Linked DNA regions of Pelodiscus sinensis. The protein of the gene in region 1 binds, or shares a complex with, the protein of each later gene. Links are inferred from orthologs where the notes say so. Each region holds a gene or a part of one and is shown in the gene's direction. Other genes may lie near its edges.

Region 1 (7,964 bases):
TCACAGCTATCCCACCCAACATTCCCAATTTTCCATGTCCCAAACCCACCCCTTTGAATCAAAACCAGTTACTTACTGCAGAACCATCCTGGAGCAGGCTAGCCCACAGTCCCAGTGATACAACTGCTGAAGAACTGGCACTTGCAACTGGACATAGTCAGCTGTAGTAAAGATAACACATCATTAGAAGAGCATGAGAGGCAAATTACAGTAGATGTAGTATACTTAGATTTTCAGAAAGCCTTTGACAAGATCCCTCACTAAAGGCTCTTGTGTAAATTACATGCCATACGATAAGAGGGAAGGTCCTTTCTTGGATTGAGAACTGGTTAAAAGACAGGAAATAAAGGGTAGGAATAAATGGTAAATTTTCAGAATGGAGAGTGGTGTCCCCCAAGGGTCAGTCCTGGGACCAATCCTTTTCAGCTTATGCATAAATGATCTGCAGAAAGGGGTAAGCAGTGAGATGGTAAAGTTTGCGGATGATACCAAACTGTTTAGGATAGTCAAGACAGAAGCAGACTGTGAGGGACTCCAAAAAGATCTCACCAAACTCAGTGACTGGGCAACAAAATGGCAAATGAAATGTAATGTGGATAAATGTAAAGTAATGCACATCGGGAAAAATAACCCCAACTATACATAGAGTATGATGGGGGCTAATTTGGCTATGACAAGTCAGGAAAGAGATCTTGGAGTTATCGTGGGTAGTTCTCTGAAAACTTCCACACAGTGTGCAGTGGCGGTCAAAAAGGCAAATAGGATGCTAGGAATTATTAAGAAAGGGATAGAAAATAAGACCCAGAATATCTTACTGCCCCTGTATAAAACTATGATATGCCTACATCTTGAACACTGTGTACAGATGTGGTCTCCTCACCTCAAAAAGATATTTTGGCCTTGGAAAGGGTTCAGAAAAGGGCAACTAAAATGATTAGGGGTTTGGAACGGATCCCATATGAAGAGAGGTTAAAGCAACTGAGACTTTTCAGTTTAGAAAAAAGGAGACTGAGGGGGGATATGATAGAGGTATATAAAATCATGAGTGGTGTGGAGAGGGCAGATAAAGAAAAGTTATTTATTAGTTCCCATAATAGAAGAACTAGAGGACACCAAATGAAATTAATGGGTAGCAGGTTTAGAACTAATAAAAGAAAGTTCTTCACACAGCGTGTAGTCAACCTGTGGAACTCCTTGCCAGAGGAGGCTGTGAAAGCTAGGACTATAACAGAGTTTAAAGAGAAGCTAAATAATTTCATGGAGGTTAGATCCATAAAAGGCTATTAGCCAGGGGATAGAAGTAGTGTCCCTGGCCTCCGTTTGTCAGAAGCTGGAGAAGGATGGCAGGAGACAATTCGCTGATCATTGTCTTTGGTCCACCCTCTCCGGGGCACCTGGTGCTGGCCAATGTCGGCAGACAGGCTACTGGGCTAGATGGACCTTTGGTCTGACCCAGTACAGCCTTTCTTATGTTCTAAATTAGCCCAAATGTGGTATCCTTCCACACATTAGTATTATAAGTCCTCTTGCTACCAACCATACTCAAGTGCTGTACTGGGACACTTGAGAAACACTTGTTATTTTGTTCCATTAGCAGATTATGTTTCTCAGCATAAAATTTAGTTTTTTTTTTAAAAAAAGAGGTAAATTTCCAAATTGTTAAAGTAAGTTAACTATTAAGTGTCTGGTTTAATCTGACACTATTTCTCTGTCACAGGTCTGGCCAGTTCTGCAGCAAAGTCATCCTTGTATTCCTTATTAACTTCTTAGTTCTTACTAGGCAGATCCACCTATTCCTGGTCACAACTTCTGTAGGATGATGAAGTGGTAATAAAAACCTAAGAGACATGTTGAAGAAGCAATAGGTTTTCATCTTTTATTGTGGTGAGCCTGAAATGGAGTCTCTGGATTTAAACAGATTTTGTAACTGTGGCAATTTTCAGTGCAGTCTAACTCCATCAAAGATGTGCCTAGACACAGCGTTCATCCAACAATAAAACATACCATGCCACAAGAAAGTATTGAGCCTGTGATCAACAGGAATAATAGGAGGACTTGACTCACTGAGAACACTACACTGAGCTCCAGTAGGAGAAGTTGAGTTAGTGCGATGTCAACTGTGTCTTCAGAGTTAGTGTAAAGACCAGTGTAAAGACAGGAACAAGAGGTCTTAAACATGTGAATTAGTTATGGTTATCAGCAACTCCTCAAGGTTGTGTTTTAACTTGATGTAATTTTCTAGGAAAGATATGCTCAAAATGCTTTTGGCAGAAAGAGGCCAACATGGATTTTGGGGTCTCCTTCCACAGCTTCTCAGATTTCTATGTACCCTACACTTTCTCATCTTTTTCCTTGTGGCTTTGAAAACTAGTGTACTTGCCAAGGACATCAAGTGTCTTTAGTTAGTCTATGGCTGGCCAGTACACATCAACATGCTAACTCATTATCCTAAAGGAAATGCTAATCCTCAAAGTTCTCTCACATTAGGAATTATGAATCATTTGTCACAAATTTCTGGTGATGGACTATACTAATCTCATTTTCCACTAACCACTTTACCCCCACTAGGTCCCTAAAAGAGAACACATTTTCTTCTATAAAAATTTCAAACAGTAATAACAAGCCTATTGTGTCAACTAATTTCCTTTGATTTATTGCGTTTCCAGCCATACTGCCTTGTCCTCCACTCCCTTTGCCACACCAGCTTCACATTACTTTTCAAGCTCCCTAGATGAGAATGATTACCAGCAGTTTTAGGATAAATGAAGTGACAAAATATGCTCCCCACAATAAACTGAACAGCAAGTCACCTCCAATTTGATAAATGCTCAGTGTGACAGATCCATGAAATGTAGCCACTAATTTAGGAGACAGCACTACCCTTAGCAACATGGATCTTAGGCAGGTACAATCAGTAATCCTGATCTGACAGACCTGCAAGTACATGGAAGACAGATCCTTGAAGATCTGCCTGTAGCTGGTTAAAGACACCTTGGCTACGTCTACACTGGCGCATTCTCTCACACAAACTCTTTTGCGGAAAAGTTCCTCTGAAAAAGCTCTTCCAGAAGAGAGCATGTACACTGGCATGTGCTTTTGCGCAAGAGCATCCATGCCAGTGTAAATGCTCTCTTGCTCAAGAAAACTCTTGATAGCCATTTTAACCATAGGGCTTTCTTGTGCAAGAAATTCATGTTGCCTGTCTACACTGGCCTTTTCTGGAAGAGCTTTTGCACAAGAGGGCTTACTCCTGAGTGGGAGCGTCAGAGTTCTCGCACAAGCCCTGATTTTATACATTAGAACATCAGTTTCTTGCACAAGAACACATGGCCAGTGTAGACAGGCATCAAAGTTTGCACAGAATGGCTGCTTTTGTGCGAGATCGCATAGTGTAGAGACAGACCATATGTTCCTGGAACAGTGGTATTTTCACACAGTGATAGAGCACTACCATCTTTCCAGAATGATACAGGATTCTTTTCACTATACATTCAAAAATCCAAAATGTTCTGCTGGAAAATACCTATCTGGTATTTATATACAAGTTCTCACATTGAATCCAGTTCAACATAGGGGCTGCGTCTAGATTGGCATGATTTTCCGGAAATGCTTTTAACGGAAAAGTTTTCTGTTAAAAGCTTTTTTGGAACAAAGCATCTAGATTGGCACAGACGCTTTTCTGCAAAAGCACTTTGAGTCCGTGCCAATCTAGACGCGCTTTTCCGCAAAAAATCCCCAATCGCCGTTTTTGCGATCGGGGCTTTTTTGTGGGAAAAAAATCTGAGCTGTCTACACTGGCCCTTTTGCGCAAAAGCGGGACTTTTTGCCTGAATGGGAGCAGAATAATATTTCCGCAAGAAGCACTGATTTCAGACAGTAGGAAGTCAGTGCTTTTGTGGAAATTCAAGCGGCCAGTGTAGACAGCTGGCAAGTTTTTCCGGAAAAGCGGCGGATTATCCGGAGAAACTGGCCCGTCTAGACACAGCCAGGGAGTAAAGGGGTAACTGGTTTCCTGGTAAGCATTGCTGTACTGCATGCTTACTGGAATGACTAGATAACGCCAGCTGGAGCAGCTACCTGCCGTGGCAGAGGGGTCAGGCTCACAGTGCCGCAGCGGGTTGTCCCGTCCTGGCCAGGCCTTACCAGGCAGAGGGCTGCTCCAGCGGGGCCTGCCTGTGTGCAGGGCGGGCGGCTGGTCAACCATTCAGTTCAAGGGTGAGGGCTTTGAACTGGACGCTCCTTCCCTCAGGAAAGCGGGGCCCCTCCTCCCAGCGATTCCCAGCCGGACACTCCCGCGCAACATCCCGCGCCCCCCTCTCCGCAGAGCCGGGGTGTCTCGTGCGCCGGGCCCCGCGCTGCCGGGCGAGCCCCGGGGGGGGGGGGCCGATCTCCCGGGGCGATTTCCGCGCTCGGGGCGGCGGCCGCGGGGTCACGCGCCACAGGGCGCGCGCGCGGGGGGAGGGGCGTGTCCGTGGCTCCCACGCCCCGCGGGGGGGGGGGGGGAAGGGCCGCGCCCCGCTCGGAGGCGGCTCGGAGCCCCGGGGCGCCGCTCGGCCCAGCCCGGGACACACTGACCTGAGGGCGGCTCGGCGGCCTCCGTGGGGCTTTTCATGGCGGCGGGAGGGGCCCGGGCCGCTCAGCGGGCGGCCCCGCGGGGCCCCCTCATGTCCCGGCGCTGCCGCCGGGCCGGGCCGGGGCGGGCGGGGAGCTGCAGCGCCGGGCCCGGCCCCTCAGGCGCGGCGGGGGAGCGAGGACGAGGCGGCGAGAGCGGCGCCCCCACCCCGCGCCGGGCGCGGCTCACCAGGGCCAGGCCGCCCCGCCCCCAACTGTCAGCCGCGCGCGGCCCCGCCCCCGGGCTCGTGCGGGGGGGGGGGGGGGCGGGGTTTCCCCGGCAGGCGGGACGCTCGCGGCCGGGCGCCGAGGCCTGAGGCCGCGTGCGCGCAGCAACCGTCGAACTGGAGGGGGAGGGGCGGAGCTCACTTGGGGCGGCCAGGCCCTTCCGCATCCGGCCGCGCGCGCGGTGCATGGTGGGACGCCGGCCATTGAAGAGCGCTAACGCGGAGCCCACGCCGCAGGGAGACGTGCCTCGCCGAGCGTAAGTGGCGGGCGGGAGCAACCACCCAGCCCCGCGTGCGGGGAGCCGGCCGGGCCTGGGGGGGGGGGGGCTCTGCTCCTTCCCCTCCCCCCCCCCCGCACCGGCATTGTGACCGCGTGGGAGCGGCCGGGCCCGTCGCGCGGTGACTCCCGAGGGGGGGTTCGCGCCTCTAGGCGGGTCTGCCCCTTGGCTGGGCTGTGGGAAGCCCCGTGCAGTGAGATTGACCCCCCCGCGCGGAGCTGGGCCCGGCCCGGCCAAGGCAGCCGCGTCGCCGCCGGGGGGGGGGGGGGGGCTCTCGCGTGGGGCGGGGGCTGCGGATGGAGCAGCCTCTCGATCCCCTTCCCACTGCCTTGGATGGCAGCAGCAGGGCTGGGGGAGGCAGGGGGCACTGCAGACATGGTGCTGTGGGCACTGGCTTTCAGCCTGGCTCCCACCAGCATTGGCTGCACTTCTTCCTCCCTATCCCCCTCCCTCCACTTGCTGCCTCGTAAGCCAGCAGCCAATGCGCCACTCAACTACCCCATAAGATTGTGCTGATTAGGTAGTCAACTAACACCCCTGCTGGTCTAGGACACGTTACTTAATTATTTGTGCTCACATGAATAGTTGACTTGAAGTCCATAAATGCATCAATAAGAATTTGCAGCATTGGGCCATAAAGCGTCTCAGTGGCTTTGACACATCCTTTTCACAAGGACTTAACAAGACTTTGAACTTTCTCACCCATTACCAAGACAGTTTCCCCAATTATCACCTGTAATACCATTAACTCACAAACATCCCACTCTCCCTACCTTTAATATCAGCAATTCACAGACACTTACCTTCCTTCCTTCCCCCCCCCCCCCCCGCATCCCCCTCCTGTTCTGCAATGTGATTTGTCCTTTTCATATTTGTTCATTTTTTTTAATTGTTTCCTTTGGTATATATGGTTGTGACTACTTTCTTCCACTATTTGATCTGAGGAAGTGGGTCTGGCCCACGAAAGCTCATCATCTAATAAACCATCTTGTTAGTCTTTAAAGTGCTAATTGTCCTGCATTTTGCTTCAGCTACCCCAGACTAACACAGCTACATTTCTATCACTATTCCTTTTCATAGGATACTAGGTGAATACTTTTTTCCTAGCTGCTTAGCCTTTTTTTCAAATTTGAAAGAGGTCATGTCTTTTGTTACCAGCTTCAGTTAGTAAAGGAGACAAGCTCATGAGCTACATAGTAGCGATGTTTTTTTTTTTTTTTTAAAAAGAGGTAATTGGGCAAATGTATAGCCATTGAAAACCTCAGTGGTTACCTGCAGCCTATATTGTTATACTTTCACATCCCTGCTACATAGAGCTCTTCTTCTGTTAATAAAGATACTGCTTTTCTATCCAATGTGTTGGGACTAACATGGCTATGAAACCTCTTTCCCGGATGATAAGAGACAGAAGGGTAGCCAAGTTAGTCTTTAAGGTGCTTCTAAACTATTTGATATTTTTTAAATTTTTCCTGTTACAGACTAACAAAACATGTACATGGTATCATGGGCTTTTGTGGGCACAACTCACTCCTTGAAGAAGGCATCAGTTTCTTTAACTTAAAGGAAAATAGTCTGGGGCATAGCCATGTTAATCTGTAACTTTAGAAAAGTAGTTCTGTGGCACTTTCGTATCATGAGCTTTTGTGGGTTAGACCCTCTTCATCAGCTGCACTTCTCTGATGCCACAGAACTATTTGTTGTTTTTAAAAGAAAATATTATTTTCCTTTCTTTAGTAGCAAGCTAGTGTCTTAGCATTGCTGATTTCTCTGCTTTGGTATTCTTAAGCCAGTTTCATTTTGTTGGTATAGACCATCAAAGTTAGAAGAGTTGAGTAGATGTAACTAAAACGATATAGAAAAGAGCCTCTCAACCCTCTTTTGTGACTAACTCCTCAAGTTCCTCAGTGTTTCTTCTGAAAATATAGAAAATTTGAACTTTTTCTTCCCCATCTTCCATGGCACTTGGAGATGTCTCATTTCTTTCCTTGCTACCAAGATTTTGAGACCCAACATGGTCTTTAAAATAAAATGGTTTGACATTTATATAGCTGTTCAATGTGTATAGAAGCCTTAATTCTGATGACCTGTTCTGTGAATAGTTAATGGTGGCAAAAATTCTATTTGAGCAAGCTGACACTTTTCAAGGACATTCAATTTATAGGGGGGAAAAAACAGGAGCCAGTAGTTTTGTATTCTCTGGATTAAAGCTTTTATAGAAATCTGAATTGTGTAGGCAAAGTTTCTGGATAAAGAAACTTACTGTGCTCTTCTGCTTTTTTTTGTGTGTGTCCCCTAGTTTTAGAGAAGTACTACTGCAAAGATGTCCATCGGAGTTCCAATCAAAGTGCTGCATGAGGCAGAAGGCCACATTGTGACATGCGAGACGAATACAGGGGAAGTCTACCGTGGCAAACTCATTGAGGCTGAGGACAATATGAACTGCCAGGTATGTCTGGGAAAAGGAATTATGCATTTTTGGAAAGGTCCCTCTTTGTTGCTTTTTAACTTTACTAAAAATTGACATCTGAGAATAGACGAGAAAGGTGGGTTATCATGCTCTGTAGCTTTGCCAAAGTGAAATAGTCTCACCTGTGATCTAGAGGGGACAGCTGATACTTTTTGGTATATAGGGAATGTTCCTAATATAATTTATGCGTTTTTCAGAACTCGGTTCTATGCCTAATTTGAGGAAATTGCATTTTGCTCATTATTTCAACAGCTTCTCTTGAGTGCTACATGCTCAATTCTAATTGATTTTTTTTGAGCTAGAGTTTTATGTTCAAATAACAAATCATTCACTTTTCTCATGAGAAATTACTTTTGTAATCTAATGTGTAATTACTTTTGT
Region 2 (6,936 bases), on another chromosome or scaffold:
CAGTGGGAAATTTTAAGAAAAAATTCTTAGATTTAGTATAGACAAGGTCCTGAGTTTTAAAAGCAGAGCAACATGGTGTGTGCACATGCATATCATTGTGTGAATGCATTGGTAATTACTACGTGCACACACACATAACTCACTCTCTCTCTCTCTCTCTCACACACACACACACTGAGTGTGTATGTAACTCTCTCCGTATGTGTACGTGCACATGTAACACACTGTATATATATGTCTCTGTATATAATAGTGTGTGTATGCAACATACTGTGTATGTCAGGGTCTATGTACGTAACAGTGTGTATGCCTGTGTATAGCACATTCTGTGGATAATATACTGTATGTCTATGTAACACTGTGGGTATGTAACACACAGTGTGCGTGTCTGTATAGATAACACAGTGTATATGTCTTTGTGTGTAGCATATTCTGTAGTGTGTCTATATATGTGACATACACAGTGTATATCTATTGTAACACACACACCATGATGTATGTGTAACATTGTGGGTATATGACTATGTGACATACATTGTATGTGTGTTACTGTGTGTGAATGGTTATGTATGTGACACAAACTGTATGTGTATGTAATACTGTATATCTAATGCACTATGTGGGTGGAACTGGGAGTGTATGTAACATATTTTATGTGTGTGAATGCATATGTAGCATTGTGTGTGGTAGATATGTATGTAACACACAGTGTGTGTGCAGTATTCTGTGGGTGTAGGTCTATGTGTGTGCAACATCTGCTGTGGGTATATGTCTTGGTATATGACACACTGTATGTATGTATTATTTGGTTGTGTAGGTAACACACGGTGTGGGTTCATAGCTGTGTATGTAACACTACATGTGATACAATGTTTGGGTGCATATTCAGATATATGATACAGTATGTGTGTTTGTGTGTCTATGAAAGATAGAGAAAGAGAGAGAGATGTGTGTGTGAGAGACACAATGTGGGTGTATGTCTAGGAATGTGACAGACAGCAGTGTGTGTGCATGTGTGTGTGTGAGAGAGAGACACTGTGTGGGTGTATGTCTAGGTGTGTGACACACAGCAGTGTGTGTGTGTGTGAGAGAGAGACACTGTGTGGGTGTATGTCTAGGTGTGTGACACACAGCAGTGTGTGTGTGTGAGAGAGAGAGACACTGTGTGGGTGTATGTCTAGGTGTGTGACACACAACAGTGTGTGTGTGTGTGTGTGTGTGTGTGTGTGTGTGAGAGAGAGAGAGAGAGAGAGAGAGAGAGAGAGACACTGTGTGGGTGTATGTCTAGGTGTGTGACACAGCAGTGTGTGTGTGTGTGAGAGAGACACTGTGTGGGTGTATGTCTAGGTGTGTGACACAGCAGTGTGTGTGTGTGTGTGTGTGTGTGAGAGATAGAGAGACAGACACTGTGTGGGTGTATGTCTAGGTGTGTGACACAGCAGTGTGTGTGTGTGTGAGAGAGACACTGTGTGGGTGTATGTCTAGGTGTGTGACACAGCAGTGTGTGTGTGTGTGTGTGAGAGAGACAGACACTGTGTGGGTGTATGTCTAGGTGTGTGACACAGCAGTGTGTGTGTGTGTGAGAGAGAGACACTGTGTGGGTGTATGTCTAGGTGTGTGACACAGCAGTGTGTGTGTGTGTGAGAGAGAGACACTGTGTGGGTGTATGTCTAGGTGTATGACACACAGCAGTGTGTGTGTGAGAGAGAGACACTATGTGGGTGTATGTCTAGGTGTGTGTGTGTGTGAGAGAGACAGACACTGTGTGGGTGTATGTCTAGGTGTGTGTGTGTGTGAGAGAGACAGACACTGTGTGGGTGTATGTCTAGGTGTGTGACACAGCAGTGTGTGTGTGTGTGAGAGAGACACTGTGTGGGTGTATGTCTAGGTGTGTGACACAGCAGTGTGTGTGTGTGTGTGTGAGAGAGACAGACACTGTGTGGGTGTATGTCTAGGTGTGTGACACAGCAGTGTGTGTGTGTGTGAGAGAGAGACACTGTGTGGGTGTATGTCTAGGTGTGTGACACAGCAGTGTGTGTGTGTGTGAGAGAGAGACACTGTGTGGGTGTATGTCTAGGTGTGTGACACACAGCAGTGTGTGTGTGTGTGTGAGAGAGAGACACTGTGTGGGTGTATGTCTAGGTGTGTGTGTGTGTGTGTGTGTGAGACAGACACTGTGTGGGTGTATGTCTAGGTGTGTGTGTGTGTGTGTGTGAGACAGACACTGTGTGGGTGTATGTCTAGGTGTGTGTGTGTGTGTGACAGACACTGTGTGGGTGTATGTCTAGGTGTGTGTGTGTGTGTGTGTGTGTGTGAGAGACAGACACTGTGTGGGTGTATGTCTAGGTGTGTGTGTGTGTGTGTGAGACAGACACTGTGTGGGTGTATGTCTAGGTGTGTGTGTGTGTGTGTGTGAGACAGACACTGTGTGGGTGTATGTCTAGGTGTGTGTGTGTGTGTGTGTGTGTGAGACAGACACTGTGTGGGTGTATGTCTAGGTGTGTGTGTGTGTGTGTGTGTGAGACAGACACTGTGTGGGTGTATGTCTAGGTGTGTGACACAGCAGTGTGTGTGTGTGTGAGACAGACACTGTGTGGGTGTATGTCTAGGTGTGTGACACACAGCAGTGTGTGTGTGTGTGTGTGAGAGAGACACTGTGTGGGTGTATGTCTAGGTGTGTGTGTGTGTGTGTGTGTGAGACAGACACTGTGTGGGTGTATGTCTAGGTGTGTGTGTGTGTGTGTGTGAGACAGACACTGTGTGGGTGTATGTCTAGGTGTGTGTGTGTGTGTGACAGACACTGTGTGGGTGTATGTCTAGGTGTGTGTGTGTGTGTGTGTGTGTGTGAGAGACAGACACTGTGTGGGTGTATGTCTAGGTGTGTGTGTGTGTGTGTGAGACAGACACTGTGTGGGTGTATGTCTAGGTGTGTGTGTGTGTGTGTGTGAGACAGACACTCTGTGGGTGTATGTCTAGGTGTGTGTGTGTGTGTGTGTGAGACAGACACTGTGTGGGTGTATGTCTAGGTGTGTGTGTGTGTGTGTGTGAGACAGACACTGTGTGGGTGTATGTCTAGGTGTGTGACACAGCAGTGTGTGTGTGTGTGAGACAGACACTGTGTGGGTGTATGTCTAGGTGTGTGACACAGCAGTGTGTGTGTGTGTGTGTGTGTGTGTGTGTGTGTGTGAGACAGACACTGTGTGGGTGTATGTCTAGGTGTGTGTGTGTGTGTGTGTGTGTGTGAGAGACAGACACTGTGTGGGTGTATGTCTAGGTGTGTGTGTGTGTGTGAGACAGACACTGTGTGGGTGTATGTCTAGGTGTGTGTGTGTGTGTGTGTGTGTGTGAGACAGACACTGTGTGGGTGTATGTCTAGGTGTGTGTGTGTGTGTGTGAGACAGACACTGTGTGGGTGTATGTCTAGGTGTGTGTGTGTGTGTGTGTGTGAGACAGACACTGTGTGGGTGTATGTCTAGGTGTGTGTGTGTGTGTGTGTGTGTGTGTGTGAGACAGACACTGTGTGGGTGTATGTCTAGGTGTGTGTGTGTGTGTGTGAGACAGACACTGTGTGGGTGTATGTCTAGGTGTGTGTGTGTGTGTGTGTGTGTGAGACAGACACTGTGTGGGTGTATGTCTAGGTGTGTGTGTGTGTGTGTGTGTGTGTGAGACAGACACTGTGTGGGTGTATGTCTAGGTGTGTGACACAGCAGTGTGTGTGTGTGTGTGTGTGAGAGACAGACACTGTGTGGGTGTCTGTCTAGGTGTGTGTGTGTGACACGCTGCGGGTGCCTGTGTAGGATCGCGGCGCAGAGCGCGCCCCGCCCGGCGCCAGACGCACAGACCCGCCCCCCCTGCAGGGGGCGGGGACACAGACCCGCCCCGCCCCGCCCCGCCCCCGCCGCGCGCCTGGCTCCCGCAGCGCCGCCCTCCCGCCCGCTCGGCTCCAACATGGCGGCCAGCAGCGCCTCGGCCTCCGCTTCCGCCGCGGCGGCCCCCGGGGGCCCCAACGCGACCGGGCCCGGCGGGGCCTCGGGCCTCACCGCCGCCATCACCGGCACCATGAACAAGAAGAAGAAACCCTTCCTGGGCATGCCGGCGCCGCTGGGCTACGTGCCGGGCCTGGGCCGCGGGTGAGCGAGGGGCCGGGCCCGCCGGGAGCCCCCCCGACCCGCCCCGCCCCCCGGGACCCGCCCCGCCGGGAGCCCCCCCGCCCCGCCGGGAGCCCCCCCGGCCCGGCCCTGCCTGGAGCCCCCCCCCCGGACCCTCCCCGCCCCGCCGGGAGCCCCCCCGGGACCCTCCCCACCCCGCCGGGAGCCCCCCCCCGGACCCTCCCCACCCCGCCGGGAGCCCCCCCCCCGGGACCCTCCCCACCCCGCCGGGAGCCCCCCCCCGGGACCCTCCCCACCCCGCCGGGAGCCCCCCCCCCCCGGGACCCTCCCCACCCCGCCGGGAGCCCCCCCCCCGGGACCCTCCCCACCCCGCCGGGAGCCCCCCCCCGGGACCCTCCCCACCCCGCCGGGAGCCCCCCCCGGGACCCTCCCCACCCCCCCGGACCCTCCCCTCCCCACCCCGCCGGGAGCCCCCCCCCCCCCCGGACCCTCCCCTCCCCACCCCGCCGGGAGCCCCCCCCCCGGACCCTCCCCTCCCCGCCGGGAGCCCCCCCCCCGGACCCTCCCCGCCCCGCCGGGAGCCCCCCCTCCCGGAGCCTCCCCTCCCCACCCCGCCGGGAGCCCCCCCTCCCGGATCCTCCCCTCCCCACCCCGCCGGGAGCCCCCCCCCCCGGACCCTCCCCGCCCCGCCGGGAGGCCCCCCCACCGCGCCCTCCCCCGCCGCCAGGAGACCCCCCCCCTCGGACCCGCCCCCGCCGCCAGGAACCCTTCTTGGGGCATGGGCTTGGTGTCCTTGCTCCTCGCTGGCTGCAGGGTGCATGTGTCGCACTGGTCCAAGAGAGCCGCTCTCCTGGCGCTGTCCGTCTTGTCCACACGGGACCGTGGCACCCCTGGGGAGAATTTAAACCGATTTAGTAAAATCCCTTTGGCAGGACGGCCAGTGGGCTGGACTGTCATCTACTAGGGCAGCGGTGGGCAACCTGCGGCCCATCGGGGTGGTACGCGAGGCCCCTCGGGACATGTTGTTACTGTTTCCATGCGCAGGGTTGCCAAATTCTGCTAATTTGAGTCTGTAGGTTCCCCCTCCCCCCCACAGGTGTTGTTAAAGTGATGCACACACAAAGCAGGGGCATGTGAAGTGAGGTGCATGCTGATTGCACTCAGCAGTGCCTGTGAGAGCCGTGCACTCCCTCTGCATCCAGTTAAGGTGGTGCTGCTACCCTTCAGTCTGCACACTGCAAATTCTTTTTAGGCAACCACAACTAGCAAAACTGCCATGGGAGACCGTCTTCGTTATGACAATTTTGCAGCCCACTGAGATGAAGGGCCACTCGTTAGCTTAGATTGCCCATTACTGCCCTAGAGCTTGTCTACATTTACAGCAGCTGTAGCATCCAGTGCAGACTGCTACCTATACTATAGTGATGGCAGAGCTTTTCCTTTCTAAGGGTATGTCTACACTACCCCCCTAGTTCGAACTAGGGGGGGTAATGTAGTCATACGGAGTTGCAAATGAAGCCCGGGATTTGAATTTCCCAGGCTTCATTTGCATAAAGCCAGCCGGCGCCATTTTTAAATGCCGGGTAGTTCGGACCCCGTGCCGCGCGGCTACACGCAGCACGGACTAGCTAGTTCGGATTAGGCTTCAGCTAATGCCTGGTGTACACTAGGAAATTATGGTGGTTTAACTACCTTGCTCGGGGAGTTGAAAAATCCATGCCTCAGAGCAACACAATTAAACTGACCTAACTCCCCATGTAGATTGCATTCTTGTCAGTTTAGCTACCATCCCTTTGGGAAGTGGATCACCTAAATCAGTGTAGGTATCATCTTTGCTGCAGCATTGTAGGTGTGGACAAGCCCTATAGCCATTTAAATTAACATCACATTTTAAACCAATGCAACTGTCCCATGTGGTCAAGGCCATAGGAGCTCAATGTAAGTAACTCTAATGCACATAGGTGGGTGGACAGAGATGCTGGGGACAGTGGATTTAGGGTTTCTGAGTAGGCACAGCCTTGCGTTACACAGGATGGAGGCTCTCTTTCACTCCATACTCCCCTTTCCCACATCTTATGTATTTTTAAAAAGGAGGTATCCCTGGAGGAGGGGCAGGGCAGAGAGAGAGGATAAATCCTGGGTCCCTCCTACATAGAACTGTCTGTTAAAGAGGACAGATGTTCTGAAGTGACATCATTTAACTATGGGGACCTGGTGACATACCTGTGAATTACAATATTTGTAAAGCCTAGTTTCGGAGTTTAAAACACACATCAGTTTATTGTAGCGCTATTGCTACAGGCTAAATGATGTCTACTGGTCTCTCAATGTAGTGCTACAGGTTTTACCACCCGTTCTGATATTGGTCCAGCTCGAGATGCCAACGATCCAGTGGATGATCGTCATGCTCCGCCAGGGAAGAGAACAGTTGGGGATCAGATGAAGAAAAACCAGGCAGCTGATGATGATGATGAAGATCTGAATGACACCAATTATGATGAGGTGATGGGGCTGTAGCATTCCAGTTAGCTGTTTCCTCCTGGTGGAGGGAGTTACTTGTGATTCTCTCTCCCTCACCCCAGTCCTTCAGCAGAGGATACACAGGCAGAATTCCTTGTAGAGTCACTTCACGCTACCCATTGTGTAGATGCCATTGCTATATTTGTCATTTTAATTTTGATGTTTGCTTATTGTTTGTTTGTCCCTGAGTGTTTTGGGTGGGATCTCAAAATTAAACATGAGTCCTCCTGGTCTGTGGGATGCCTCTGTATTTGATTTCAGTATTACGTATTTTTGTTAAAGGAAGGAAACGTTTTCACTTTACAGG
Region 3 (7,730 bases), on another chromosome or scaffold:
AAGAAAAGGAATTAGAAGTGTGTTTCTTTTGCAATTTAGTAAAATGTGTTCATGTTGGCCAGTGAAATGACATTTTATTTCCTGCTATTAGTGCATGGAAAAGCTTCTACATTTTTAAATACAAATGTCAAAGAATCACAGAAATTTAGGACTGGCGGGGACTTCTTCAGATCCCCTGCACACAAAGCAGGATTATTTCTTTTGTTGCAATTTAAGCCCATTTCTTCTTGTCCTACTTTACATTCCTCCACACTACCTTCATTTAAAGACAAACAAATCTAAAATTTGGCCTAAATAACTCGATAACTTCCATATAAAAATACAATTATTTGCACTATATAAAACTTGGAAACATTTTAAATATTAGCTTTCCACCAAGATTAAATTCCAGTGGCCTGATCCTGCAAATAACTATGCCCCTGAAATAATTATGCTCAAGTGCATAGTTCCAACTGAGATTATGAGCATGACTAAAGGAACCTGGATGTATTTACAAAACTGGGTTTTAACTAAACACATTTAACAAAAAATATAATATTGTTCCAGACTGTTATGCTGATGCTGTAAATTAACTTACCTGCACATTTCCCCTTTAAGATTCCCTTCATTTTTCACAGCTATGTTATTTTCCTCCTTCACTGTTGACTTTGCTCCTTTTTGCCTTGAAGATCTACCTGGCAGGCTATGAATTCCAGTGTCACAATCTTTTTTCTTCTTTTTATTTCCAGCAGGAACTTTTGAGAGACATTTCTTCAGACTGAGCTTTTCTCCTTCAAAATTATCTGTATTAGATCAGAGGGGAAGGAGATATGTCAAAAAGTGAAACCATAGCTCCACAGAACTCAGTCAATAAAAAAAAAAAAAAAAAAAAAAAAAAAAAAAACTCTCAACAACTTCAATAGAGCTAGCATATCACTCACAGGCTGCAGAGGAAAATGCAGGTTTTGCATTTTCCTCTGCAGCCTGTGAACATATTGAACATATTGTCCTAGAAAATAATTTTCACAAATATGCAGCATTAAGCAAAAAGTGCATTTGAAGCAAAACCATCATGGAAATTTCACAGCCCCAAATAAACAAAATGGATAATATCTGCCCTTATCAATAATGGTGGATGAAAAATAAATATTCTACTCACCTACAGCCAGAGTTACTTTTCCCAGACAAGTGGAATTTTGCAAGACTGATTTAAATCACCTCTTTTATGAGGATTCTCTCTCAACAATAGCAAGATGCTTTCCTCATCACACCTGGATCAAACCACTGTGCCCGTTGCAATGGGTACATTAAGTGCATATGAGATTAGAATGATGGGCAGAATTCCCTAATGAAATGTGCAAAGTTTTCCTCCTTTCTAGAATATGGCATGGTTTGACAGAATTGGTATCCATTATATAGGAAAAGTTATTTTAAATGTAAGAAGTTTCAACGTGACTTTGTAAGGAAAAAAATGCCACTTATCTAATTCAATATGGGTTATTCAATATTCCTGGGAGGCTGCTGGTGTCCAACCTAACATACAGATTGTTCCTGGAAACACTCACAAACAAGATCAGTCTATTCATGCAGGTAGCTCCACTGAAGTCAATGCATGAGTGATGGAGCTAGTTGCATAAAGTTGCTTAAGTGTTTGCAGAATCAGGGCTACGACCACAATGCATTCTTGGTCAGTATAGTAGAGAAGGGCAGCAGACGTAATTTTGAAGGAGCTGATTTTTTTCCAAAGCTGCATTTCGTCATTTACTAGCTGAATACTCCTCTGCTTGTGACTATGTCTGACATTCAGCTCATTACTTAATAATGATCCCATTTTGGAGAAACTTTTGCAGGTCACTTTTAAGATGTTTTTATTTTCTAATAAGCAGTGATTATCTGTTGTAAACATACAGCTCCTGGAAGCCTGAGAGAAGCAAGAAAAGTGGAGAGAGATTTCTGATGTTATAGTCTTATGATTTTTATGCCAATCCCCATACATTCCAGGGGGTCTGAGTCACATTTTTGAACATCTGGGTCTGGCAATACTGCATTTATTGCTGGACATTCACAATGGGCCCAATTCTGAAAGCAGTAATATTGGTTCAAATCCAATGAATTTTTTAAAAAGCAACTTTGAGAGAAAATGTACTAAGGAGAGTGGTTTTCGTACTTTAAATATTTGTTTTAAAAAGGCACTAATATTGTGAATTGATCCATGACACCACACTCTTAGGCCCTAATGGCCTCCAGTCTTTAAAAGGGTTTTGCATATACACAAGGGACATTAACGTATACATATGGGGAGCTAGGGGAAGCTCCTGCATGCATGTAAATGTGTAACAGCTGAATTTTTCAGTGGTTACATGTTTACATAAACAAACACATTTTAACATCCCTAATGAAGAGTTCAACAGAATTCAATCAAGGCCTACAATGACTCTAAAACCATTATTTCTTGAATGGTGTGTTTTTGAGAGGCCTGATTTCCTGAGGCCTTCACTTTCATTGACCAGGAGTTAAGCATTTTGCAAGATCAAATCCAATACAGCAGATAAAGCAGTTAAAAAAAACCACATCACTCTGAAAATGTAGCATTTCATAGGGCTTCTTCTAAATTAAGGAATGAAACAGACTGCTTGAAAGTCACACCACATCATCTTCAACAACTATGTGAAATCTAGAGATAAATACTAAATGAAGATGTGGTGACAGAAATACTAACTATAAGCCTCAATGTTAGATGAACAAGAAATACAGAATTAGGATTTAAGATTATATTGTGTTCCCTTCAGTTAGCCTTTTCCACAAACACATATACAATCAAATTCTACCATTATTTGCATTAAGAATGACCTGAATTCCATGCTTATATTTTACATAAATAATACCCTAAAGATATGCTGAAATTACATGTATTTATTAAAGCTGCCAGCAGTACTCTATCCAGAACCTTTATTTTTCTTAGCTTCATCAAATCATTTGATCCTCCCTCTTTCATTGTAACAAAGGAAATGTTTAGAAATTGTGGATTGTTTCCTGACAGCACTAGAAACTTCTCTCAAGAGAAAACTATTTTGCTTATGTAACATTGAAATGTTGACTGTAATGGGGCTGGAAAAAAAAGCTAAATCAGTCATGATCACATTATACAGTATAAGGGACAACAGATCAGCAGATGGAGTTAAACACCACAAAGAACACTACACTATTTAGTGGCTATGCAAAGAGATTGTGGTTTAAAAGGATTTCATCTGCTGTTTAATATTTCAAAAGCTTTATTTTAGTAAGCTCAAAACCAGCAAATAACTGAGACAAGAACAATTCTAAATAAATGTTTCATTTAAACAAATCCTATAAAAACCCTACAGAAAAAATGTCACAAAATAAATACAGCTATAAATAAACAATATCAGAGAAGTTTGATTTATTCTTCACAGTCTACTGTAATTAGAAATGCACATTGGACAGTAGGCTAGAGGATTGCGTTTAAATGAGAGGAGAGTCTAACAAGACAAGTGAGATTTTAAATGTCCCATTGAAATATGTAGCAAAAATCCTTTATCAGCACAGAGGAATGATTTAAAAGTCATTTTAAAGTAATTCCAAATGAGCATGTTATGTGAAGGGGAAATATTCCTCCAAATGAATTTTCCACCCCCAATCTGCCATCTAAGTTCCAGGGGCTGCTTCTCTTTGATAGTATATTCTCCATGATGCTTATGCAACTGCTCGCAACAGGGTCTGGCTCAAGAAAGTCTTCGTCTACACTCACCCTCTCCTTCTTGCCTGAGAGTTTGGAGGGCCCTGGTGGCTGCTGCAGCAGGCTCTGCCTTGAATTTCTTGCTGCTAGCCTCTTGCTGCAAGGAACCTTTGCGCTTCTTGGCCATGCTGTTTCCTCAAGGCAAGGGGGGCAACCACAGACTGGTGAGGGACACAAAGCAAACCCAGCGGAGATGAAGGCAGCCTCCTTCTCTGGGTGAGGCCTTTGCACGCTCTCCCCACCTCCGAAGCGTACGTGCACCCTGAGCCCTCCTCCTCCTCCTGGAGCTGCAGGAAGGCTCTGGGGAGGCTGGGCTAGCACAGCCGGCTCCTGCCTCAGTCTCCTCCTCCTGCCTGACGTCTCTTCCGTCCCGGCCGGCCGAGAGGCAGTCCGCAAGGGCGGCGGATAGCGCCCGTGGCTGCCGTTTGTGCAGAGCTGCCTGGGCGCTGCAAAGGCCTGTTGGGCAGTGATCACCAATGGCCCCTTCTTGGCCGGGGCTGCTCCCAGCGTGCCCCCGAAGCCCAGCCTGGGCTCACGCCGTCCTCAGTTCATGCCCCGGGGGGTGCCTGCGGGCCGGGGCTGGAGCTGTACTCCGCCCCCACTGTACGCCAGTCCGGGGGCACCGCTGCACTCGGCACGGGCCTTAGGCCGGCTCTCGCGCCCACGGAGCCATTGCCCATTAATTCCTAAGGAGCCCGGGCGGGTGCCTCAGTTTCCCCATCTGTAACAACATGGGGCACCTGCGTTCGCTTTCCTTCGCCACGCCGGGGGGGGGGGGGGAGCTGACGAGCACATCGACAAGCCCCCCCGGTAACGGAAAGGTGGGGGGAGGGAACTGAGGCACAGCTAGGCCCTGTGACCGCAATGGGGAGACGCGGAGGCACAGCCGGGGCCAAATCCGCAGACCAGCGGGGGAACCACGTGGCACGAGCCCGAGCGGTCCGCAGCCGCACACCGCGCCTGCTCCGCCAAGCCCCGCCCCCACCACCCAGCCTGAGCAACGCACCGGCCGCTCTAGCCTCCCTTGGAGGCCGCCCCCCCACGCCAACCGTGACGTCGCCACCCGCCGTTTCTACGCGCCGGCGTCGCGCGGGAAGAGGCGGGGCTCGCGTTTGAAAGATGGCGGACGAGGTGGACCAGGTGAGCGGCTTTTCCTCTCCTCGCCGTTCGGAGCCCGCGCGAGCCCGGGGGGGGAGGGGCGCTTCGGTTCTCCCCTTGCCCTGGGATCCCTCCCGTCTGGTTGCCGTTGCTCTCCGTAGCAGGGACGGTTGATGAACGGGGCTGGATGCGCGAGCGCCTGTGGGGTCTCTCCCTCTTGACTCCCCAGTTTCCCATGTCCCGGCCCTTCCCAACTTGCCGCTCACAGTGTAGCGGAACGGCGGCCCTCCAGCAAAGACACGCTGCATACGGCTCCCTCCATAGCGCGCCCCTCCCCGCCCCTGAGCCCCAGCTCAGCCCATGGGGGCTTGAGCAAGCGTGACCGGAGATGCTTCCGTTTTCCTGGTCTGCCGAACTAAGGCAGAGCAGGCAAAGGGTTAGGGTTTCAGAAAGCTGCAGCCTTTGACTTGAGACGGACTCCATAGTCCCCTGTGGAGCAGCAAATCTTTAACCTCTCAGTACTGCAGCTTACATCAAAACGTTTCCTTCTGTTTCAGTCTTCATTAGGTTGATCTTTGCCGTTAATTGCGTGATTGAAAAACATCGAACATCTCTGTGGTCTTAGTGTCATTTCAGTGCTGGTTTCAGTCTCCTGGAGCCTCAGTATTGGCAGTGCTCTTATCAAGCTTAAGAGATGTATGATTTTGTTATGTTTTGTACTTCTACTGCAGTCTGATTTGTTGAAAGTGAAGCTGAAGAAGTAATGGGGAAGGAATATAAAATACTGGAAAAATTTAAAAAACAACAAATAGTCTAGCAGCACCTTAAAGACTAACAAAACATGTAGATGGTATTAAGGATATTTAAATTGTGGTTAATTGACTAGTCAATAGAACTTCCATCAACTACTCAACTAGCCGATAGGCACTTCTGCATTCTTCCTTTGAAATGTACAAGAGCCCGCTTGGGGCTGCACCCAGTGTGCCTTCTTTGAAATGTACAAGAGTCCCCAGTGGGGGCTCTTGTGCATTTCAAAGCCGTGGAACCCAGGGTCACGGGGAGACTCCCCAGTTGACCCCAGGTTCAGTGCAGCATTTCAGCAGAACCCGAGACAGCTGATCCCGAGATCAGCTGGGGAATCCAGCTGAAACATGGTGGCGGTGTTTCAAAGGGGCAGCACTGCACAGCTGATCCTCAGTTCAGCTGTGCAGCACTGCCACTTTGAAGTACCCCTTCTTCTCCTTCCCTTTGCTGCCTCTGTGATAGAGGTAACAAGTGGAGGTGAATCGGCTAGTTGACTGACTAATCGATAAGCATTTGCTTATCGGATAGTTGACTAGTCCCTAACATCCTTAGAAGGTATCATGAGCTTTTGTGGGTACAACCCACTTCTTCAGATGAATGGAATATACCATTCATTGTGCCCAGGAAAGCTCATGATACCATCTACATGTTGTGTTAGTCTTTAAGGTGCTGCTAGACTATTCGTTGTTTTTTAAGTTTTTCCAGTTACAGACTAACTCAGCTACCTCTCTGAAGCTTATAAAATACTGGATACTTACTCCAGAGATCCCAATGCATTATCCCTTTGGGGCAACGGACCACTATTTCGTACTGTTTTCGCAATGCTGAGTATAGTGGGGCTGAGGACTAGAGCGCTAGGTCAGCAATGGGCAACCAATAATAGTGATTTTCATGAGTTGGACCTCCTTCATCTCAGTGGGCAGTATGACTAGTGGTCTGCAGCCTGCTGGGGTTCCACTTGTGGCCTGCACACCCCCTGTTTGCTCCCATTACCCATGCACCCCTCGCACACTGGGACCCTGTAACCCTGCATTTCCTACTCTTTCCCCTCCCTCCCAGCACTTTTGGAGCACCACAAATCACCTGATTCGCACTCCTTCCCTGCTACTCCGCTCCAGCGTTCGCAACTGTTCAAGCTCTGAGGGAGAGGAGTGAGAATGGGGCATAAATCAGGTGATTTGTGGTGCTCTGAATGGGCTGGGAGGGAAGGAAAGGAGTTGAAAGTGCAGGGCCCAAGTGCACAAGAGGCGTGTGGGGGAAGGAGGCAGACAAAGGGTCTGCGATCCACAGTTGGAGCCCCATTGGACTGCATGTGGGATGTAGGTTGCCCACTTCTGTTCTAGGTGCTACAGTACTACAAATAATTTTCCACCAATGAGAACAGCATAATCAATGGCAGTGTAAACTTCTTTACATCCTTGCCAAAGTATCTCAGACTTGACCATGTGAGCTCAATTTGGAGGATGTAAGCTATATTTTGTACCCTTTCTGTTCAGACTTCTGGCCTGTCCACTAAAATTGTCAATAGAGGGTACCAGTTGTGATAATAGTACTGTCCTCTAGGAAGTTAACTGAAATTTATGTCATTTCATACAGGCCACAATATGCTCATTCTATGATAATGATTTTTGGTTTCTACCAGGTTGGGCTGGACCCAATAACTGACCTGAAAGTGAAAGGTACCTTTATCCTATACGTGAAAGAGACTGACCGGTTTTGAACATAAAATTTTTGAGGCTTTTGTATATCGCAAAAACTGCTGTCTGTATTTTTAGCAACAAACAACAAATACTGTAGAGGAGCCACTGGATCTGATCAGACTCAGTCTAGATGAACGAATCTATGTGAAAATGAGGAATGATCGAGAACTTCGAGGCAGATTACATGTAAGTAAAACACTGCAGAAAGATTTAGTACTAGTATACTTTTAACCATTGAAAGGTACATCTAAAAGCCCAGGCAAATTATACGCTTGGGCTACGTCTAGACTGGCATGATTTTCCGGAAATGCTTTTAACGGAAAAGTTTTCCGTTAAAAGCATTTTCGGAAAAGAGCGTCTAGATTGGCATGGACGCTTTTCCGCAAAAGCAT
Region 4 (7,122 bases), on another chromosome or scaffold:
AGAACTGGTGATTAAATTTACAAAGCAATGTTACCACACCAGAATGGTTTTATCCAACAAGTCTGAGAGAAAGGATTTAAAAAGCTGTGGTCTTTTCTGAGTAATTTTATTCATTGTGGGGAGCAAAACACTATCATCTTGCTTGCATTTTTTCTCAGAGAATCTGAAAACGTGTCACATGATAATAACCGCCTAGAATCAGTGAAACAATATCAGTGACCATAACATCATTATATCTATTATTTGTATTTTAGCTGTGAAATCCTGTACAACTACTATTTTCAATACTATCCATCTTATGGTCTGAATGACTGGGCTGACTTCATATCTTAAAAGAGCTTGCAGACCAAAACAGGGTCCCATGTTTCCTAAATGGAGAAATTCTGAGTTCCTCCACACACTCTAATTCCACTATCAGTTGGAAGAAATATTGAGGTGTGAGTTGAGAGTATGCACTGTGTAGATACCCCATCATGCAAAAAAAAATGGTTGGAGCCCCAAATAGTTGGTTGTCAGATGCTGTTAAACCAGATGAAAAATTCCCTTAATATTATGGTTTCTGAGAGTACTCAGATGTTATAGTGATTGCCCAAAGAAACAGTGTAAAGAGAAAAGAAATGAGGGTCAAGGACAGAGCCCCGGCGTAGCCCTGTAAACCTCATCAGAGAGGAGCACTTGACAACAATCACTGAAAAATGGTCAGAGATGAAGGAGGAAAATCAGGAGGGTACAATATAGTGAAAACCCATTGAGGATAAGAAGTATGAAATATTTTTGTTACCAGTCACTGTAAAAAAATATTTTATAAGGCCTCAATCCCACATTTCTTGTACCCTGAATAGCACTTCAGGAAGATGCACAGATTTTGTAGTGATGGGGACCTTAGAGAGAAGCAAAAGTACTTGGATGAACACATAGATACATATTGGAATGATAAACGAGTCCAAAAACAACAGTCAGAAAATCTCTTATCTGTTATCCCCTGGTGTTACTATACATAGTAATTCCACTTTGCTTTTCTTACCTTATTGCAATATGTTACAGATTCACTTGTTAGTTTTTTGAATCATCAGTTCACATCCACGGGTGGCAACTCACCTCTTCTTCAAGAAATTACTCCTTTGTAACTCCAGGGCAATTGATAAAGAGAGAGAATATTCAGCTCTGGCTGTTTTCTTTTCTTCCTCCACTGAATCATATAGAGCTCTGTCAGATATTTCATGAATTCCATTATTAAATCTTGTTACTTGATACTCTTAATAGACCTTGGAAATCCACCAGTGTTTCCTGTAACAGTAAGTTTAAAAGTAAGTAGTTAATTCAAATAATATTATTCTGCTTCAAAAAGCAGTATTAGAAATGTTTAGGGAAAAAAAAATCTAGATCACTAAAAAGTTGCATACATTTACGCTTGCTGCATCAAAGTCCCTGGTTCTCTTTGTTTTTATAATTCTTGTCTTCACACCAAGTAAAGTCATAGATCTTAAAATATGAATATTTTCAAAAAATCCATTTACATTTTGACAAAGTTAAGGATTTATCTTTTCCACTGTGTCAAACTCTCCTGAAATCCAATGTAGTTTTGATTAAGCTGGTTTTATTTCAGACAATGTTCAAACTTGTCACGTGCACTAATAGGAAGTTACATCCTGGTTTTAGAGTAAAGCTGCCTGTTACACATAAATAATTATGAGAAACACCTTAAAAGCAAATAAAAATGAATGGAGAGGAAAGCTGAAAGTCATTGCTTGTTCAGAACTGCTAAAATATAGAAAAAACAACCAAAAGTGCCTTTCAGATAGGGCATTTATTGTAGCTAAGAAACAACCTAAGTGCTGTAAAATTTAAAAATCCTTGCACTGACTCTTCAGGAATAAGTACATAAGCTATTTGTATCATTGCCTAGAGTTATTAATTATTATTATTATTATTTTATTTATTTAAATAGTGCAGAGCTTTTTAGCCATAGATCTCAAGGACCCTTACAGAGAAGGGAAGTAGCATTATTCTCATTTGACACAGAGAACTGGGAAAGTTTTATGTAAGTTCTCTATAACGTATGTTGTTGTTTTCTAAATACCACTTAGTCTTCATTTAGGATATCCTGTGCGTGTGTCATCTTTTGTCTGAAATGTATTCTCACTTGATGGAGAAAATAAAACAGCTGCCTCAACTAAAACAACTGGTCTTAAGATGTAGTAAAGTTAGTTTATTTCTCTGAGACATGGCCCAAAACACTGGCAATGGATCCCTGTCTAAAAGAGTATGTCTAACACAGCAGCATTATTTCGGAATAACTGGTGTTATTCTGAAATAACATAGTGTGCATCTACACTACAAGCCTTTATTTTGAAATAATGTCAAGCTAGAGGACTTCTTACTCCGACTCATGGTAACCCTCATTTCACAAGAAATAAGGGAAGTTGAAGGAAGAGTGTTCTTCCTTTGACTTCCTGCTGTGTAGACAGTGCCAAAAGCCGAATTAAGCTATTTTGACTTAAGCTACGCAATTGACACAGTTGAAGTTGCGTAGCTTAATTCAACTTTAGCCCTGCTGTGTAGACATGCCCTAAGAGTCCAGTTCCTATCAGCCTCCTAATTACACTTATCTTTCCTTCTGCAGAAAGCAAAGGAGAACGGCTAGATGAGACAGGTTGGAAATAAAAAAAGAATTACTAACCTCTATTGACTTAAATGGAGAAAGATTGAATCTTAAGCACTGGTGTTGAAAAAAATACTTGCTAATGCTGATATTTAGGTTAGAGAACACTGCCTTGATCTTTTAAAATTATTATTAAAGAGCTATCTAGATTTAGTGGAGTTTTGATGATTTAATTGCTCTGCCATTTGTAGATTAACGTCACAGAACTATCTGGGCACAAGTGTGTTTGGTATATATAATATTGCTTGTTGTTTCTGTATGTTAAGCCAAAGGTTAGCCCTTCAAGAGGTTTTCTCATAGGGGCCAAGATGGTGTAGAAACTTCTTACTCTCTACTCCAATCCCAATCCATCATTCCACTTTGACACATCAGTCCCCCTAAAGGCAATGATGAGACATAAATCTGTTGGCCAACTGTTACATTTCATTTTGCCATTTATTGGCCATAGTGACAGCAAACTCAGGCTATGTCTAGACTACATTCCTTTTTCGAAAGAGGAATGTAAATGAAGCAAATTGAAAGTGCAAATGAAGCGTGGATTTAAATATCCTGCACTTCATTTGCATATTTGCATCCAAGCACTTTTTCAAGAAAGGGTTTTTCAAAAGTGAAAGCGCAGCCTAGACGGGATCCTTTGGGGGAAAAAAAACCCTTTTTCAAAATAACCCGTATTCCTGAAAAAATGAGGAATACGGATTCTTTTGAAAAAGGTTTTTTTCCAGAGACCTGATTGACTATGTGCAGCACATGATACGGAACCAGGACGAACTATAAGGCAATGGCCCGTGATGAGAAGAACTACTACCAGGACACACCCAAGCAGATCAAGAGCAAGATCAGTGCGTATAAGCGCTTCTACCCAGAGGAGTTCTAGGCTTTCACTGCATCCCTGCAGCCAGAGAAGATGGACCAACAGTGACTGCTCCCACCCTGCCCTGTTGGACCCACCCACAGCTGCCACCTCAGGGTACACAAGGGCAGACTGTCCCTGTTCTGCAGGGGCTGTTAAACCATCGGTGGGCAGAGGCTCTGGGGCCTGTGGCCAGAGCGCTGAATTAGATGTAGTTTATGGAAAGGATCCAGCCTCTGGGGAAAAGGGGGGGGGATGAGCATGCGCTAGAAGGGGCTCCTCGGGACGGTGCAGCTGGGCAGATGGCCACTGTCTCTGCACGCTGGGGGTGAAGGGATGAGACTTGTGTCCTGCAGCTGTGACTTGCAATAAATCACAATGCCCTCCGTTTGTCCCAAGAGCATATGGAAAATAAGGCACGATGCTGTTTAAAAGGGAATACGCCCTTTTACGCCATGCTTTGGTCATGATCCTAAATGATACACTTCCTGGCAGCAGATGACCCTGGGCACGATCATTGTTGCCACGGGAGTCAGCGGGCCTGCTACAGCCTGGGGCCAGGACCACATGATGCAACCGGATGGTCTCTGGAGGCTCCAAAGGGACGCTTCAGCTCAGGACCGTGGGGTGAAAGGGCCCAGACGCATACAGACAAGACTTCATGGAGCCCTAAGGAAGGCAGCGCGCTGCTCTACCCCGGCCGTCAGAATGGGCAGCCTGCCCAGCTGCCAGGGGGGAAACATGCAGTGCGCATGCGTTGTCTCCTACCGCTGCCGCGAACGGCGCTTGCAAGTCAGCGGCGTCCTTCCACGCGCCTGCGCTCTGCGAGGCCCCCGGGCAGCACGGGCCGTCGCGCGGAGATGGAGTCTGCGGCGGAGGAGCTGATGCCCCGGCTCCTGCCGGTGGGGGACTGTGACCTCACGGAGGATTTCGACCCCTCGCTGCCCCCGCGGACGCCCCAGGAGTATTTAAAGCGGGTCCAGTAAGTGGGGGAAGGGTCCGCTGGGGCTCCCCTCCAGGGCAGCGCGGCCTGTGAGCCCGCCGGGGCGCGGGGAGCTGAGCCGCGGCCGGGCAGCTCTCGGGCGCTGAGCGAGCTGCGGGGCTGACCCCAGACCCCGCTTGTGGGCCGCCCCGCCCCCTTCCTTGCTCTGTCAGCCTGGGTCTCCTCTGTTTCCAGATCCCGCCTGTGGGTCCGCCCTGGACCTGGGTACGGCCCCTGATCAGACCTTTGCAGACCTAGGCTTGAGCTGTAGCTCTTGTGCACAATCATAGGGGTTGGTCCTGAATGGCACTAGGGCTCCGGCTCAGACCTGCCGGTCCTAGCACCGGGGTCCTGTGAGTCCTAATTGAGCTCAGGTTTACAGTGCAGTGTGGCCTTGATATCCTTAAGAAATAAGTGCTGTTCAGGGAATTGAGAGAGCCAGGTTCTGCGTCTATGCCTAACCCATTTACCAAACCCTTTAGCTGCCTTGTCTCTAACGTCTAAGGATGTTAAACTGTGGTTATCTAACTAATCTTGTAGTCGATACAATTTGCCCTGCTGAACTCAGCATGAGCCGGGATGGTGCAGTTCTTGCTTGCGTTGGTCTGGGACGCTGCACCTCTAAATTTGAAATGTAGAAAGAGCCCAGCCCTGCATCTCTTACTATATTTAAAATGCAGAGCTGCAGCGTGGGTGGCTCCCAGAGATGGCAAGAGCCGGGACTGCTCACTCCTTGCTCGAACCATCTTCTGGAGCTACCCCTGCTGTGGTTCTGCATAGCGGTCCTCATCGACTAGTGGTGTAGTCGGTACAAATTGCTTTGCACAGAATGTTATTTTACCAACTACAACTGCAAATTATAGTGATCTTTACTTATGATTATGATGGAAAGTGGTCTTGTAACTAAAGCACAAAACTGGAAATCAGAAGCCCTGGATTTTTTTTATGGCTGTCTCACACATGGGCTCACTTTAAGCAGTTTTGTATCTGCAGGGGTGGCCCGTGACTATAGGCGGACTCAGCTATTGCCTAGGGCGCCGCCTTCAGTGGGGTGGCTGATGATGACGTCAGTCCATTGACAGCCCTGTAGGCAGGGGCGCCAATCACACATTCCGCCTGGGGCAACAGCTGCCGCAGCCTGCCTCAGGCCGCTCCTGTGTATCTGTAAAATGGGGGCACTTATCAACCATTCGTAGTCTACATTGTAAACTCATAAAACGTTTTAAAACCCTTCCAAATAAATATTTTTGCTTTTAACATTTCTTTCTTTGATAGATTCTCATTGATAACTTAAGAATTGTGCATGTGTTTTGAATTTGGTCAGTATCTCTTCATGAAAACTCAACCTGTGACTGTTTCTGGTTTTACAGGATACAGCTCAGGGATTTCAAATATAACCTTTTATTTCTGTTTGAAGGATTGAAGCAGCACAATGTCCAGATGTTGTTGTGGCACAGATAGACCCCAAAAAGTTGAGAAAGAAGCAGACAGTAAACATTGCAGTAAGTATCGTGTGTGTATATATTCTAAAGCTTTTTTTAGAAAAACAGATAGTTAAACGAAAAAAGCTTTTGATTTCATATTAAAATGTTTGTCTCTTAACATTTTTGGATACTTGGTGTATGCATTAGATATGTCCTAGAGCAGTGGTTCCCAAACTTTTTAGCATCATGCCCCCTTTTTGATTTTTGAGGAACCTTCACTCCCCCTCCAAAAATAGCAGCAAAACTTGTTGGGGGGGCGGGGGAAGGAACTGATAGGGGATGAGAAACAAAAATAGCAGCAAAACTTGAGGGGGCCCTCATGCCACCCCTTGAATTTCTTCACCCCCCCCTCCCAGGGGGAGACGCCCCCCCAGTTTGGGAACCATGTCATAGAGTAACTGAATTTAAGCAATCTGTAGAAGTAAATGGAATCTAGTCTTGCAGATCCAGATAAGTGGATCCCAGCCAGAGCCTGCCATTGTTCCCTGTAAGCTAAGTTCTCAGGTGTCCATCCAGGAGAGATTCACATGCCACCCAGCTGGTTAGCAGAGTCCTCACAGTTGGCAGCATGTTTTTCTACTAGTGGCACACATCTGGATGTGCCTTGGAGGTTGAGGAAAATCGTTGATACCCACAACCCAACATAATTTGACTAGAGTATGGGCTCCAGAGGGGCTGAGGATGAGAGCTTTAAAGTGTAGGAGGGGGCTCCAGCTTTGGGGGTGTCAGGACTGTGGCAGGAGGGGCTTAATTTGAGCAGTTTCCTATCAGTGGTGCAGTGGGGGTGCTCAGGCAGGCTTCCTGCCTTTCCTGCCACTTCAGACCATGCTGCAGCTCAGAAGCAGCCAGCAAAAGGTTCCCCACCAATGGGAGTGCAGAACTAGTGTGCGGAGCCCTATGTGCTCTCCCCTCCCCCAGAGCCAGGCCTGTTAGAACCATAGCATCATAGAACACTAGAACTGGAAGGGGCCTTGAGGTCATTGAGTCAAGACCTCTGCCCTTATGGCAGGACCAACCACCATCTAGACCATCCCTGATAGATGTTTATCTAACCTGATCTTAAATATCTCCAGAGATGGAGATTTTACAACTTCCCTAGGCAATTTATTCCACTGTTTAATCACCCTGATGGTTAGGAAGTGTT

What was found.
Region 2: SNRPD3 (region 1) and PRPF6 share a complex: the UniProt entries of both Homo sapiens proteins name them as parts of the U4/U6-U5 tri-snRNP complex. The link is inferred for Pelodiscus sinensis from reciprocal best matches to the Homo sapiens genes SNRPD3 and PRPF6.
Region 3: SNRPD3 (region 1) and LSM3 share a complex: the UniProt entries of both Homo sapiens proteins name them as parts of the U4/U6-U5 tri-snRNP complex. The link is inferred for Pelodiscus sinensis from reciprocal best matches to the Homo sapiens genes SNRPD3 and LSM3.
Region 4: SNRPD3 (region 1) and GEMIN2 share a complex: the UniProt entries of both Homo sapiens proteins name them as parts of the SMN-Sm complex. The link is inferred for Pelodiscus sinensis from reciprocal best matches to the Homo sapiens genes SNRPD3 and GEMIN2.

Annotation. Positions count from the first base shown.
Region 1 is NC_134725.1:6,973,809-6,981,772, reverse strand, and holds the start of SNRPD3 (small nuclear ribonucleoprotein Sm D3), read left to right. Parts: upstream 1-4,956; 5' UTR 4,957-4,980; coding exon of another isoform or gene 4,981-5,026; 5' UTR 5,027-5,095; exon of another isoform or gene 5,096-5,101; intron 5,102-7,412; 5' UTR 7,413-7,436; coding exon 7,437-7,562; intron 7,563-7,964. Other genes in the region: protein GUCD1, read right to left, coding at 77-161, 4,144-4,204. UniProt on the Homo sapiens protein: Plays a role in pre-mRNA splicing as a core component of the spliceosomal U1, U2, U4 and U5 small nuclear ribonucleoproteins (snRNPs), the building blocks of the spliceosome.
Region 2 is NC_134728.1:4,403,115-4,410,050, forward strand, and holds the start of PRPF6 (pre-mRNA-processing factor 6), read left to right. Parts: upstream 1-3,917; 5' UTR 3,918-3,948; coding exon 3,949-4,130; intron 4,131-6,442; coding exon 6,443-6,611; intron 6,612-6,936. UniProt on the Homo sapiens protein: Involved in pre-mRNA splicing as component of the U4/U6-U5 tri-snRNP complex, one of the building blocks of the spliceosome.
Region 3 is NC_134721.1:22,035,135-22,042,864, reverse strand, and holds the start of LSM3 (U6 snRNA-associated Sm-like protein LSm3), read left to right. Parts: upstream 1-4,717; 5' UTR 4,718-4,855; coding exon 4,856-4,876; intron 4,877-7,413; coding exon 7,414-7,524; intron 7,525-7,730. Other genes in the region: XPC (DNA repair protein complementing XP-C cells), read right to left, coding at 578-782, 3,749-3,863. UniProt on the Homo sapiens protein: Plays a role in pre-mRNA splicing as component of the U4/U6-U5 tri-snRNP complex that is involved in spliceosome assembly, and as component of the precatalytic spliceosome (spliceosome B complex).
Region 4 is NC_134714.1:45,327,943-45,335,064, reverse strand, and holds the start of GEMIN2 (gem-associated protein 2), read left to right. Parts: upstream 1-4,120; 5' UTR 4,121-4,264; coding exon 4,265-4,494; intron 4,495-5,911; coding exon 5,912-5,996; intron 5,997-7,122. UniProt on the Homo sapiens protein: The SMN complex catalyzes the assembly of small nuclear ribonucleoproteins (snRNPs), the building blocks of the spliceosome, and thereby plays an important role in the splicing of cellular pre-mRNAs.